Linked DNA regions of Tribolium castaneum. The protein of the gene in region 3 purifies or fractionates together with the protein of the main gene of each other region. This does not show direct contact. Links are inferred from orthologs where the notes say so. Each region holds a gene or a part of one and is shown on either strand. Other genes may lie near its edges.

Evidence for each region. Proteins that work in one complex are often made in the same cells at the same time.
Region 1: the proteins of vesicle-fusing ATPase 1 (region 3) and Syx6 purify together in Homo sapiens (affinity purification with mass spectrometry; 3 studies listed by BioGRID and IntAct, with this or other methods). This does not show direct contact. The link is inferred for Tribolium castaneum from reciprocal best matches to the Homo sapiens genes NSF and STX6.
Region 2: the proteins of vesicle-fusing ATPase 1 (region 3) and gamma-soluble NSF attachment protein purify together in Homo sapiens (affinity purification with mass spectrometry; 3 studies listed by BioGRID and IntAct, with this or other methods). This does not show direct contact. The link is inferred for Tribolium castaneum from reciprocal best matches to the Homo sapiens genes NSF and NAPG.

The regions. Positions count from the first base shown.
Region 1 is NC_087394.1:33,930,318-33,935,236, reverse strand, and holds the start of Syx6 (syntaxin-6), read right to left. Parts: upstream 3,019-4,919; 5' UTR 2,838-3,018; coding exon 2,803-2,837; intron 2,618-2,802; coding exon 2,448-2,617; intron 1,738-2,447; coding exon 1,643-1,737; intron 949-1,642; coding exon 889-948; intron 842-888; coding exon 609-841; intron 234-608; coding exon 139-233; intron 91-138; coding exon 14-90; 3' UTR 1-13. Other genes in the region: small ribosomal subunit protein uS7, read left to right, coding at 3,761-3,889, 4,211-4,432, 4,612-4,827. UniProt on the Homo sapiens protein: SNARE promoting movement of transport vesicles to target membranes. Targets endosomes to the trans-Golgi network, and may therefore function in retrograde trafficking.
Region 2 is NC_087394.1:1,525,799-1,530,762, reverse strand, and holds the start of gamma-soluble NSF attachment protein, read right to left. Parts: upstream 3,019-4,964; 5' UTR 2,937-3,018; coding exon 2,878-2,936; intron 2,828-2,877; coding exon 2,760-2,827; intron 2,702-2,759; coding exon 2,617-2,701; intron 2,542-2,616; coding exon 2,316-2,541; intron 1-2,315. Other genes in the region: centrosome-associated protein 350-like, read right to left, coding at 3,685-4,365, 4,414-4,502. UniProt on the Homo sapiens protein: Required for vesicular transport between the endoplasmic reticulum and the Golgi apparatus.
Region 3 is NC_087395.1:13,854,227-13,858,947, reverse strand, and holds the start of vesicle-fusing ATPase 1, read right to left. Parts: upstream 3,304-4,721; 5' UTR 3,181-3,303; intron 3,177-3,180; exon of another isoform or gene 3,109-3,176; 5' UTR 3,044-3,108; coding exon 3,041-3,043; intron 2,961-3,040; coding exon 2,872-2,960; intron 2,823-2,871; coding exon 2,613-2,822; intron 2,560-2,612; coding exon 2,414-2,559; intron 1-2,413. Other genes in the region: Calr (calreticulin), read right to left, coding at 3,770-3,790.

The sequences.
Region 1 (4,919 bases), on a different chromosome or scaffold from region 3:
TTTAAAAACGAAATCACAGTACGGAAAATAAAATTATCACAATAAGAAGAATGATAGATAGAACGATGATAGCTGTCCACTGCCGCCGATCTGTAAATAAATCCCTGACAAAAGTGGCAATTTAATACGAAAATTTACCGTTGGACATGTGCAACACTTTCGCCATCTTCTTCAAAGTCGAGTCCAGTTTTGAGTCGGTGTTTTCGAGTTCAGTCCCGAACTCGTCCAACATTCTGCAAAAAAGGTAAACATTGGAAAAAGCTAAAATAATTATTCTAACATCGGTGACGCAACCTTCGGATTATTTTACAACACAAATAATTTTTTATCAGCTAAGTGCCATTTCCCTTATTACGATCGTCTTGAATGTTTGCATAACATCTAACCCGATAGCTGGATATACCGGTGTAGAAGTGATGGAACAATAGAAATTAAAGAAAATTACGCATTTAACAAATTACATTCTGATTTCCATAATTATGACATTGAAGGAAAGCTCTCATTGAATATCATTATACTAAGATGCGTTTTTTGGAATTTTAAAAATAGGGACGCTGTTTTTTTTCGACAAATAAAATTATTATTATTGTTAAAAATAGAATTCTTACCCTGCCTGTTCATCGAGCTCGATTCCAATGTGTCTAGACACCGTTTTTAACGATCCGAGGGAATCACCGATAGCTTCCAAATGCTCTTCTTGTTGTCTGGTCATATATTGTTGCTGCGACAATGTGTCGTTTAAAAACTGACGTTGAGGGCTGTCTAAATCGTTTTCCAGTTTAGAGTATTTTGTAGTGCCGTGGCTGTTGGTGACCCTGACGGGGCTATTGTCGAGTAAGGGCTAAAAATTCAGCCAGTCAGCTTTAGAATACTTTAGGTGTTGTTTACCTGTCGTGCGGTACGATCACGATCTCTGTTTCGATTCATGTTGATTTTATCTTTCATTGACTAAAAAATGCAAAGTCTGAGTGTTTGATGTACACAAATAATTTTCTATTGAGATTTTAATGGTATGATTAATTGTGGACTACACCCAATAAAAATCTCCTGCCTTTAAACAAGTAAATCCATACAAAAAACTCATTATATTACGTATGATAATTATATTTCATTACCTTTTACAGTTTAAATCAATTAATTTCCCTATGTACTAACACGTAAAGCCGCTGTTTTTAAAACATTATGATAGTCACCTTAACATTTTCAGTAACAAAATTGAAAAGTAAATATGTTTATTCAAGGCAAATAATCAATAAAAAGTCCGACTAAGTTATTAACAACGTAAGTTGTTAATAGCCCTTTCTTTTGAAAAAACTGACTACTTTTCAAACATCGGAAGTCGGAAAATCAATTTATTATTTAGAGCTGAATAAATTAATCAATGACAAGGACTACAAGGAATAGTGTTAAGCAAATACAAAAAAAAGTTTTTTAAAAGTGGAATACTTTAAAATATTAAATATTAGCTTATCAGGTTTTATTAAATTGTATTGAAAAAATGGTTTGAGTGATTTGAAAATTATTTCAAATTAAAAACATAAAAAAACATACATACCAACTTAAGTAACTATAGATTAAAGTTAAAATCACGTAAGAGTGAACCAAAACCGAAAATATATTGTTAATTTTTAAAGCTTTTTACCTTAACTTCTTCACGTGTTGTGTCAATGAAGTTTTTCCTGATGGTAAGTTCTTTGTTGTCGATTTTAAATTTTGACGGATTTTTCTCTACAATATGTGTTTAACTGTTAAGAAAAAACTTATCTCCTTCAAGAATGCAAACAAAATGTGTTGTAAACTAATTATTTCTATATTTAGAAGAAGTTTAATATATCACTTTTTATTGAAACCAGTTTTTAATTGTGATATTTGTTTTTAAAGTAAATTACGAAGAAAAAAGTGACACTTAATATTTCAAAGATATAATTATACTCGAACTGTTTAGTAATTAAAAAAGTAATGAGCATTTAGAAACAGTAATAGATAGTTCTTATAATACTCATTTAACACCAGAAATGTCACCTACAAAGTTACCAAGAATGACTATTTTAGTTAGCCACAGAAATATTTTAATTTTTAGTTGTTTGAAACAATGTAATGTAATAAATTTCTATAATACCATGACTCAAAAGTGCACAAATATAAAAAAATTTGTAAACAAAAATATTTTTTTAATATTAAAAAACCTTAAAATATTTGCACAACTATTAACTTCACGTGTATATCTCGTAAAAAAAACTCCAACAATTTTTTAATATAGGAACTCAATTGGATGTTTTTTATCACCATCCAAGAGATGATTTCTATTTATTTTAATACAATGCTGTTACCAGTATCGCCAACTTAAACAGATATTCTTGATCACTTTGTATATTTAAATTTGTATGTGAGATTTATTGGCTGATAAACTGGTCAACTGAGTCAATGAATGTGTTAAAAAAGGATATCAATTGTGTCTTCTAAGTCCTCCAGGTCCCATTCTATGCTACGTAAAGAGTTTTTGAGTTCTGTGTTGGTCCATTCTACTTCATCCTTGGTGATACAGATTGAGTCATCTTGCAATTCAGTCCATCGAAGATACAAGCCCCTTGTTTTATTTAACGCCTTAAATACCTCACTAAAATTTGATCATTCTATTTATAATGTAATTTGTTTACATTGAACAACCAAAATCAATATAAATAAAATAGAAATGAAACACATCCCCACAAAGCTCATGCATTGTTGCAAACACGGAATTTATGCAAATTAAATGCTAATCACGATAAAAAGTCTTATGTTTATGACTGCACAAAGTCTTACTCTTTCACTACAAAAAACGGGTCCTCCAACGTCATGTCAATATGTGTGGGCTGGCAAGTTCTGCACTTGCAAACTTAACAGTAACTTGCTCATAAACATGTGGAATGTTGGGTGGATATAAACGAAGAACCATATAACTTCATATTTTAAGTAAAATAAATCATAATTTCAACAACAACAATGTCACTAGCAAGGGAACGTCAGTGGTATTGATAAACCTACCTCTGTGAAAAACCCTAAATTCCACCCCTAATTATCTTTAATTTGTATAAAAAGGAAACACGAAATTGAAAATTCAGTCCACTGTATTCACTATCACATAACCTACGCTTTAGTTAAATAACGATGAGTAATCATTGTCTAAACAAATACTTGATGTTTTAGTAACAAATTCGTAAGACCCGCCGTTTTAATCAAAAAGAAAGTCAGTGAAAAAGTTACTGGAATTAGAGTTGAGTAAAGAAAGAGCTAAGGTCACGACGATGCGTGGAAGGGAGACAGATAATCATAGGGTCTCCAATTTCGTAAGGTTGCCATTTCCTCTTCTATTATCGCCATTTTGAATGGCGAAGCTCTTTCCGGTTCACCGTTCATGGTGGTGAATGTGTTGATGGTTATTTTGCTCATAATTTAATAAATATTAGACAGAAATTCCAGGTATGTATTACAATTTCAACCAAAATAATGTAGAAACACTAAATGCGTGTAAAAAACACAACTGCTTATCTCCACCTTGTAAAAAAACGAATTTTCACGTGGCACGTGTTTCTATTTATCAAAAAAACATCTTATGGTGAAATAAGTGGACCAGTTTTTTAAAATGATGATTTTTTATTTAATTCTGACACCTCTTGACAGAATGCCTCGTTGTTGATGCACTACGACTGAAACATGTGTCTCGACAATTTGGGGTTAGGTTGGTTTTGAAGAGCACTAATAGTTTTGCGTTTTAGGAAGAATGGTGGACGATTACGATGAAATCCAAGCGGGGGCTATCGCCGCGCCCCAAATGGCGGAAATGCCAGAAATTAAATTGTTCGGCCGGTGGAGCTGCGACGATGTTCAAGTCCCAGATATGTCTTTGCAGGTGAGTTTTTCACCTTAAAGTAGGGGCATTATCGTAAAAAAGTAAAGCAGCTTGCTGGAGCGCCAGTCAGTTGCAGAAAAACTTGTTTTGAGATTCATTTTATTTTTGCTACAAAAGCCACTGATCAAGAGTATTTACCTAATTTTTACCGGCATTTTTTGAGAAACTATTTAAAATTATTTTAAATGATGAAATAACATTTTTTTAACTTTCTGACACCTCTTCAGACCACCTCATGGTGACTAGTTAATCTGAGTCGATACTTACGTATTTCTTCTAACCACTTGTGTAAGCAGATGTTCATTAGTTTTTAATTTGCAGGACTACATTGCCGTAAAAGAGAAGAATGCCAAATATTTACCTCACTCAGCAGGTCGTTATGCGGCAAAAAGGTTCCGCAAGGCCCAGTGCCCCATTGTTGAAAGATTGACCAACTCTTTGATGATGCATGGGAGGAACAACGGCAAAAAATTGATGGCCGTCCGTATTGTCAAACATGCGTTTGAAATCATCCACCTTCTAACTGGAGACAACCCACTTGAAGTAAGGGTTATTTTATTATTTATCACTTCTTAGTTTACTATGATGATTTAGTTGTTTTTCTGACACCTCTTCAGAAAATAATTTGTTGAAATTTAGCTACCATTGACTGATTGTAATAGTTTCAAACTTCAAGTACCAAGTAATGATACGTCGAGTAATGAATTTTAAATGTATTACAGGTTTTGGTTAATGCCATTATTAATTCTGGCCCCCGTGAAGACTCAACCCGTATTGGAAGGGCAGGTACCGTTAGGAGGCAAGCCGTTGATGTCTCTCCCTTGCGTAGGGTGAACCAAGCTATTTGGTTATTGTGCACAGGTGCAAGAGAAGCCGCATTCCGTAACATCAAAACGATTGCGGAATGTTTGGCTGATGAACTCATGAATGCGGCAAAGGTACGTTTTCATTTAATTTTTTGCTAAAATGTCCTTTCTAATGCTGAGGAACGGGTCAAAGTTCCGTAGTTTCGCTAAGGACTAAAGCAATG
Region 2 (4,964 bases), on a different chromosome or scaffold from region 3:
TGAAAATCGACCAAAATCAAGACAAAATTGGAAAAACCAAAATCTTAAAAATCGAACTTATTGACTTTTTTTCTACTTTTAACAACTTCAGTGGGTTGTAAACGTATAGAAGAGTCCACAAAATTTGGTAGAGAGTGTTAAAACAAATATTTTTATTTTTTTTGAATTAAAAAATTGACCGATTTCTAAGGGGGGGGGGGGGGTGTTAACTTCTTTTTTTTTATTTTCTCATTTACGGCCAAAAAAAAGCGCCAAATTCCTAATAGTTTTTTAGATATGTATTTTTGTGTATATGATCTAATTTTTGCTTTTATTTGCATTTTCTCGAAAACTATAAGTCGGACAACAATAATCTTTTTTGCAAATGATAGATCATTAAAAGAGCTTTCCAAAGATAGTACACGTCATAGGGTTATCTCTAATAGTTCCGGAGTTATTGCTTGATAAATGATCCGGGTACCGGAAATCGACAAAATTCGCGACAAAAATTGAAAAAATCAAACATCAAAAATTCGAACATATGAACTTTTTTTGACTTTTAACAACTGTAGAGGAATGTAAGGGCACATACAAGTCCAAAAACCTACGATAGAACGAGTTTTAAAAAAAATTAATTTTTTCACCTTTTTAAAGGTAAGTTTTAGCAAAAAAATTCAAAATTTTAAATCTCATGAAAAGTTGGTATAATACAGAAAATGAGCCGCTGAATTCAATGGAACAAACCGCATTGCCCTACGACTTTTAGTTTTTGAGTTATGAATTTTTTTGTTGAAAAATTATTACGCAAAAAATAAAAAAAAAATTATTCTTGTGAAAAATTGATATAATATGTAAAATGAGCCGTAAAATTCAATGGAACAAACCGCATTGCTCTACGACTTTTAGTTTTTTTTTTATGAATTTTTTTAGTGAAAAACTTTGATCGCCTCTGTAGCCGGAACCATTGCCCGGAGCGGCTTCAGGTTTAGACGAAAAAATAGACAAAAATAAGCGCTATCAGATGGATTTTTGTTCGTTGCTCTAAGTTTTACAGTTTCCGAGAAAAATGCAAAAAAAGATTTCCATTTTCCCTTTTTTTCAATTTTCAACCGCCAATTACGGCGAAACTATTAGAGTTATCGAGAAACGGAAAAATGGAGGACAACCGAAATAAAAAACTCTACAAAATGGCATAGGACTCAAGGCGATATCTCGCAAAAAATTTTTCAATTTTCAAACGCCGATTACGGCCAAACTAAAAGAGCTAGGAGAAAACGCTTTTTTAGATCGGAAAGAGCACATCAAAATCTATAAAATAGAATCGGTTTTATTTGATTTTAGGACACTTTAAAAATTGACCGATTTCTAAGGGGGGGGGGGGGGTGTTAACTTTTTTTAATTTTTTTATTTTCTCATTTACGGCTAAACTATTCTAAAAAGTGGAAGTATTTTGATTCATACCTATGCAAAATGATCCGAGGAATCGATTGGAATCAAGAAAAGCGCCAAATTCCCAATAGTTTTTTAGTTATGAATTTTTGAGTACATGATCTAATTTTTGCTTTTATTTCCACTTTCTCGAAAACTATAAGTCGGACAACAGTAATCTTTTTTGCAAATGATAGATCATTAAAAGAGCTTTCCAAAGATAGTACACATCATAGGGTTATCTCTAATAGTTCCGGAGTTATTGCTCGGTAAATGTTCCGGCTACTCGGAATCGACCAAAATTGCGACAAAAATTGAAAAAATCGAACCTATTGATTTTTTTCTATTTTAACAACTTCAGAGGGTTGTAAACGCATAAAAAAGTCCATAAAACTTTGCTAGAACGAGTTTAATTTTTTTTTATTATTGTGGAATGAAGTGACTGAAATCAAAAATCAAATCTTTAATTTTTGCAAAAAGCTGGTTATCATACGTAGAATGAGGCGCAGAATTCACCGAAACAAACCGTTTTTATCCACGACTTTTAGATTTTGAGTTATGAATTTTTAATAAATAAATCGGCGCATCCACCATTTTTCAAATTAAAATAAATTTTTAAATAAGTTCAGGGGTAAACTAATGTTGAAAAAATGCTAGTGTAATACGTAAAATGAGCCGCAGAATTCAATGGAACCAACCCTTTCCCCCTAGAACTTGTAGTTTTTGAGTTATGATTTTTTTTAGTGAAAGACTAACAATGTCTCTGTACCCGGAACCGTTGCCCGGAGCGGCTCCGGGTTTTGACGGGAAAATAGATAATTTCAAGCGCTATCCGATGCGTTTTGGATTTTTGCTTCAAGTCTTATTGTTTCCATGAAAAACATTCTGATCTAGTGATGTGACGTTACCATTGCGATTTCTGAGGCATGCTGGAACAGCCTGAGGGCCTGTTCCGGGTGCTGCGCCTCCAAAATCTTCGCTGCTTTGTCCAAAGAGGCCGCTGCTGTGTCCGCACTGCCATGGCTCTGAAACATGTTGGCAGCCCTTTCTGCCAAAGAGGCAACATCCTGTAAATCCCCGAGTTCCTTGCACACTAAAACAGCCTGATCTAGAGCCTTGGCGGCCGAAAACAACCTGATTTCAAGTTAGGAAAAAGAAAACCAACTATAAAAAATTAAAATAACACACACACACACAAAAAAAGGATACGCTCTGTTTTGTTTATGGCAGTCGACAGCTTTCAACAAACACTCCTTACATTGGGCAAAGTTTTTTGCGTTACGAAAACACGTTGCTAAAAGTAAAAATTGGGTAAAATACCCTCAGATCACTTTTTTTTAAAATATACAAACCTGCTTTGTTGTAATCATCAGCAGCCGATTCATAGTCAGGTCGCCACTTTAACAGTGATGTTTTAAGGCTGGAAAATAATTAATTGGAGAGAAAAATCACCAAAATTTAGCTCCTTACTGTTTTTCCGCGTTTCGGATGTGCTCCAAACCCTCCTCATTCTTTTTATTCGCCGACATCGCAGATGTCTATGACAAGTGAAACAGATGTTTTCTGACAGTGGGCTGGGTGTTGATGCGTGCGCAGCTTTTGACAGTTGTTCGAATTTTGGCGCCAGAAATTCCATATATTTAAGTAATTCAGCAGTTTTTTTATTTTAAATAATTAATTATGATGAAATTTAGAATAATACTAGACATCATAAAGTCTCCATTAATTACTATTACTATTTTTATATTGATTTTGAAATTTTTAATAACAAGAAATGGTAGAAAAATCTCAATTAATCCGCATGCATTTTTTTAAGTATTATTATTATTTACTATTATTAGTAAATAAAATTTGAAAATAATTTGTTGTATTTTTTTTTCTCAATTTATTTCTATTCTATCTTAAAATTACTATTTAAAATTTCAAAGTTGGCGCCAATTTGTTATACAACCGGAAGCTCAGCCATTTAAAAAAAATAGTTAAACCCAAAATGGTGGATTTGGCACGTATACAAAATTTCAAAACTCTAACTATATTAGAAATTAAAAAGTTTCTAACATAGGCCATAAAAGAATAACCCTGTATATAGATTGATAAAAAAAATTTGGTGTCAAACTGAAACACCCGGTATGATATTACAATTCATCATTCATCACTTACCTTTTTCAATTTTAATCGGTCTTTTGAGGCACAATTACGTGGCTCCTGTCTCTCTTAATAATGAAACATGCTTGTAGAAAAAAATACTTTATTCAGACTTAAAAAAAATGTACAAAATCACTTCTTAGCCAAAATCTTGGCAAAAACATCGGCCGTTTCCTCGAGTAACATCTTCATAATATCAACAGTCACTTGATTCTTGACGATCAACTCATCCTTGTCAAAGTTGGTCCACTGCGATTCTTCCTCTTGAGATTCCAACACCAAAACTTCATCCACATGGTCCCGTTTTTTGCGCCCCCACTTAATAATCGCACTTTCGGCAACTTGGACTTTCTTAAACCCAAACAATTCTTTCAGTTTTTTGGTTAAAATTTTTTCCAAAGTCAAAGAATCAGGGGGTTTGGTCTTAGCCAACTGTGGTTTTTTGGCAAGTGTTAGCCAGGACGGTTCTTTCACTATTTCGAATTGTTTGTAATGATCCCTAGCTACGTCTTTGCAAATATTGAAGAGAAATTCGGCGCAAATTTTCGACACTTCGATTTTCGAAAATAATTTGAAACCGTTTTCGGAAAATTTCACTTTTTCGAGGGTGTTGTTTTGGTGCGCTTTGTGGAGGACTTTCGAACTGTATGACGCAATTTCGCTGATTTCTTTCGCTTCGGTTGGAATTATTGAGTGGGGGAATGAGGAGGAAAGGGAGGAGGGGGGAGTGTAGGGAGGGGGCGGTTTGTTGGGGATTTCGCGCATAAAAACATACGGTAGTTGTTCTTTTTGTTGCAACTCCAACTGTTTGATCTAAAAAAATAACATAAAAAATCTAGTCAAGAAATTAAAATTTTTTACCTCCTGTTCAATGGCTAATTGCTTACGCCATAATTCTTCAGCTTCGCTTCCAAAAATATCAGTCGGTAGTTGGCGACCGTCAAGAGATTCTAAACAAAACCAATTTTTAGTCTAAGATTCAAGTCTTATTTTTTTTATTTTTCTGTTAGTTAGGTAACTGAAACTTTATATGCAAAATTATTCAAGGAATCAGAATCTGTTTTCATTTTTTGTCTACGAGCGATAGTTTTTAAGATATCGGTCAAAATTTGAGACATTGGTTAAGATTTGACAAAATCCAAACTTAAAAAAAATTTTTTTTTTAAACGACAAGTCCAAATAATTTGATTTTTCTTATGTAAAATTATTTGAGGATTTTAAATCAGACTATGAATTTTCCTGTGGCATCAGTCAATAAAGTTTGATAACTCAAGACACGAATTAGAGTAGAAAAATGATAAGTGCTTTTTTTTAGTTTAGTTTTTTTTTAATTTTTGGTCTGGGGTTCAAGTTTGTTTTAATTTTTTTTGTCAGAATCTGTTTTCATTTCTTGTGTACGAACGATAGTTTTT
Region 3 (4,721 bases):
ATAGAATAAAAAAAATCACCAAATGACCACTTTATTCTAACGAGTAAGATAAAAACAATTACTAAATCAAATAATATATACACTTACAAGCAAAATAGTGAATATTGTCTAAAGTAATATTTCATAAAGTTTTCCATAAAGTTGGGGCAGGAAATGATTAGTCTGCACTAAAATGCAAATTAGGGTTTTTAATTTGCATTTTACTGCAGACTAATCATTTTCTGTCCCCAACTGGATTGTTGTCATGAAATATTACTTTAGTCAATCTAGATTATTTCGCTCGGAAGAGAGTACCATAATAACCACTTGTAGAACAAAGGTGTACTACCTCTACTCATATCTATGGAATAAACAACAACATTATTAGCACCTAAACCTCTTTTTTTTAACAATTTAGTCAGTGTCAAAAATTTTGAATTTATGTTGGGACCCTGCCACAATGCCATAGAACAAAGCCTGGACGACTAATTTTAAATGGAGTTGCCAACGTTGAAACAATTTGACAATTGATTTTAATTTCGAATGGACTTTATAAGAGAAAAGTCTTTAAAACATTTTTACAAAAAGTATAATGAAGAGAGAACTTTTCTTATAATTAGAAAAAAGAAAAAAAACTATTTTATAAAATAATCAGTAAGAAATTGTATAAAAAAATTCAAATTCAAGTTCAATACCTACTTCGAAACTATTTCGAAACAAAGTTGGCAAACATCTTCTCTTGCTGGTGTTGATTTGTGGTATCGTAAACTAGTTTTCAAAATATAACATGTAATATAATAATCATGATATTTTTGGTTGAGGCTCAGTATGAAGTTTTCCCTCTTTACGTAACTGTGGAAAGTGAAAAAATTTTGGATAACAGATTGCATCAAAAATTTTAAATCTTGAACCGTTATAGTAATTTGGCGTAAAGTTTTGCATATAAAAATAATTTTTACTCAAAAAACGTGCTTAAATGCTTGAAAACGCATCAATAACACCACATTTAACCCAAAATGACAATTTTTCGGTTTATTTATAAAAAATTCTAGAAATAATAATTGATTTTCTAACTTTTATGCCTAGTTTAACATTTTTGATAGATACAGTTCAGCAAAAAAACGGAGTCTGCGAATCCGTGGTGATTTTTAGAATATTTTGTTTACGAAACCACTCAAAATTATGTTTTTCCAATTAGAAAAAAACGCTAAACCTCAGGAAAAACACAAAAACAATGTCATTTACAGACTAATTTATTACAAATTCATTAATTTACTATTACTTATTAAGTTTGACGGTATTTGGTGTTTCAAGGCTTTTAAAAATAGACATATTGAAATATGTCTATTGAAATTTTTAAGTCAAAAGCGTTCTTGGATGTTTGAAAAAGCGAATATAACACTATTTTCACCCCAATTTTGTGATTTTTCGGTCTATTAAAAAAGTTTCTCGAAATAATTGATATTTGGGAGTGTTTTTGCTAAAATGATGTATTTTTGTTGCTCCTAATGTAGTATTTTTAATACAGTTCAACAAAATATTGTGAAAAAAACCGAGGCTACAAAACCGTGATGATTTTTTGAATGGTTTCGTAGGAAACCAGTAAAAATAGTTAATTTCCGCATAGGAAAAAAATTGGTAAAACTCTGAAAAGTACAAAAATAATGCCATTTTCGGAATAATTTAAACAAACTTCATGTTTTTCCAAATAAGATTTATTCTATAGAACCGCATTATTCAATGACAACAATGTGCGAACACATTATTTAAGTGATTTTTTGCAGGATGATTCAAAAATGTTGGCCCAACTTACAAATGGTGCTAAAAGACGTTCAGCTAAACATCAAAATGATGGCAGATATTTTCTTAAATAATTTCCTTAAAAATTTAATTCAATAATTGTCATATTTGCTAGTTTGTTAGATATTTTATCCTCCATAAAGCACAAAACGATGTTTTTTCTTCTTTTGTTTTAACAGGTATCTGCTTAATGTTGCAAAGTCTAGCATTTCCCCTAACTAAATTCAAGAAAAAATAATACGTGCTATATCTTGACTCACATACGAGACTTCTGAATCACAGACTTCTGAAGTTATTCCACATCATTATTAAAAGTTGCAACATATTGCAACACATTAGACTTAGCATATTTGTCATTCTCCATACGAAATTTTCTTTTAAAAATGTTTCAGAGTGTTTGATTTACCTGTGAGGTTTTTTGTTTTTTTTTAAACAGTAAAAATTTTGGAATGCTTGCGACTGCCAAAGTCAAACACTTGCTAAAAAAAACCTACATAATTGTTTAGGCCCTGCATTTGTTTAATGAAATTATTAAGAAAGATTAGTACCTGCCAACTTATAATTAGAATTTATGTATAATTAGAATTTATAAAACATATACGCAGAAAACAATCTTATTTTTTTACCAACCTACCTTCAATGTCCTTGACGAGCAGGCTAAGTATCTTTTTGTCTTTAAAGAGGAAAGCCAGTTGTTGACCAACAGTAAACATCTGATTTGGAAACGAGTAAATAAATTCTTTAGCCATTTCATCTGTGTCATATTGCTCTTGCGATGTTCTATAATAAAATAATGTGTTAAAAAGGGCTCAAACTAAATGCAAACTATTCACGTTTTCTTTTGCATGTAATCAGCCTCCAGGACAATCGAAGTTATGTAATCTTCTTCCTTGTAAGGATTAACTTCAATGTCATCATTAATGGACAAGGTGGCCCATTTTCTCTGTGGTACACTGAACGCAACCTCATTCCTGTGAACTCTCGGGTCTTTCTTAATGGAAAAAATGAACTTTTTCACTCCTCCTGTGATGACTTCAATATGCCTGCAAATAAATCGGCTTCGGAACAGCTCATGTAATCCTAATGACTCACTCTGTAGATTGTGAAAAGTCGGCGTCATTCACGACAGCACAATTTGTCAATGACAGCTCATCTGAGGGGCATTTCACCACTTTAAACAACTAAAACAACAAATTTTTGTTAGTTTACTTGCGGTAGAGACAATCAAATACAATGTTCTTTAAATCATTTGAAAAATTACCATTTTCGTTCAAGAATAAATTCTGTAACTTCAGTTTGAAGATGCTGCAATGCAGGTTTAGTGAAAACCTGCAAAATCAATACTTTACACAGCACTGACAGGATAACAACCTTAACCTAACACAACTTAACCTCACTTACCCGTTTTACAGTGTCGCCAATCAACTGCCCACGTTACCCCTACTTTACATTAACTAGTAATTTTGCAACAATGTATCACAAAAAGGGTTCCAGAGCCAACGTCTGAATGTTAAGTGGCAAGATATAAGATTTCTTTCACTTTGCTTCAATAATTGAAATTAGTTGCAAATCTTTAAAAATTATGTTGGCGGCACTGTCACATCGTCATCTACAGCGCCCCTGGCGGCAGTAGCCGCGACTAAAGCTTAAGCCACATCAGTGATGATGTCAGGTCATCAAAAGAAAAAGTAAACTTGTAATAACGGAGGTTCGTGTTTATTGACCACTTACATAATTATTTTACAAAAAGTAAAAATGGAAGAGCGTCGGTCGTACGTTTACATCTCAATATTAAAATTACATACAAGTTATAATAATTTATTTGAATTTTGTACAAATAAAATGTGAATACAAAAACAACTTATTGTAGGATTTTGTGTTTTATTAGAAGTAATACGCTCATTATTAACAAAAATCAGTCAAAGAAATAGTACACACTATGGAACAAAACACTGCACACAGTAAGATATAAAAATTGTCTCTTTTACACTCACAACTCGTCATGATTTTCCTGTAACAAAAAAATATAAAAAATAGTATATTACATAAACAAGGTGCAGGAAGTATAATTATTGCGAGGGCTCAAGTTATCAAACGGAGTCCGAGCGTTTAATGACATTCCTACCGAATTTATAGTTATTTTATCCACAATCACTTTTTTTAATTTTTAATTTAACACTGTTGCCAACCCAAAAAAATCAGAAAATTCGAGATTAAAATAATTGAATAGAACAGGACAAACATCAACAAATTTGATTTAATTTTTCAACATTTTTAAAGATGTTTTGATAAGACTGCAAAATAATATAGACCGAAATAACAAATTCGATCTAACAGACACTGCATTTTTAGAGAAATTCTTTAAAATAAATCTAACAGATCTCGTAGTAACACTGTCACCAACGCAAAAAATAAAAATCTCCAGATCCGAGCTGAAAGAATTATCAGATTTACACCCCTTTCACCACACTACCATTTTTTTTAAATCTTTTTAATAGTGTAGCAGGTTCACTTACCAAATTCGGTTTAAATCTTTCCAATGGCATCAAAGGTTTACGTTTTTTTTAAGAGAAAATGAGCGGTTAAAAACGGTTTAGAGTGGTGGAAAAATCTTGCGTTAGAAATAAGCTTCTAACCCATAATGATTTTCGTTTAAATGCTGTTGAAAAGTTTTTAACTGGTAAAATTATTACCACCTTAATTATTTAGTTTTATGGTAAACTTTTGATGAAATCTCGCTAAAAATAGACGAGAAAAATAGAGTGCAACAAGAAAAATGGAATTCGATTTAATTCCATGATTTTCTGACATATTTTGATAAGATCGTGTAAAATAAATGTGTATCTGGTTTAAACTAAATTCAGCGAAAGAAGCTGAAATAACACTTGCTATTTAACTTGTAACTTTTCGACCGATTTTAGCGAAATTTAATAAAAAAAGAG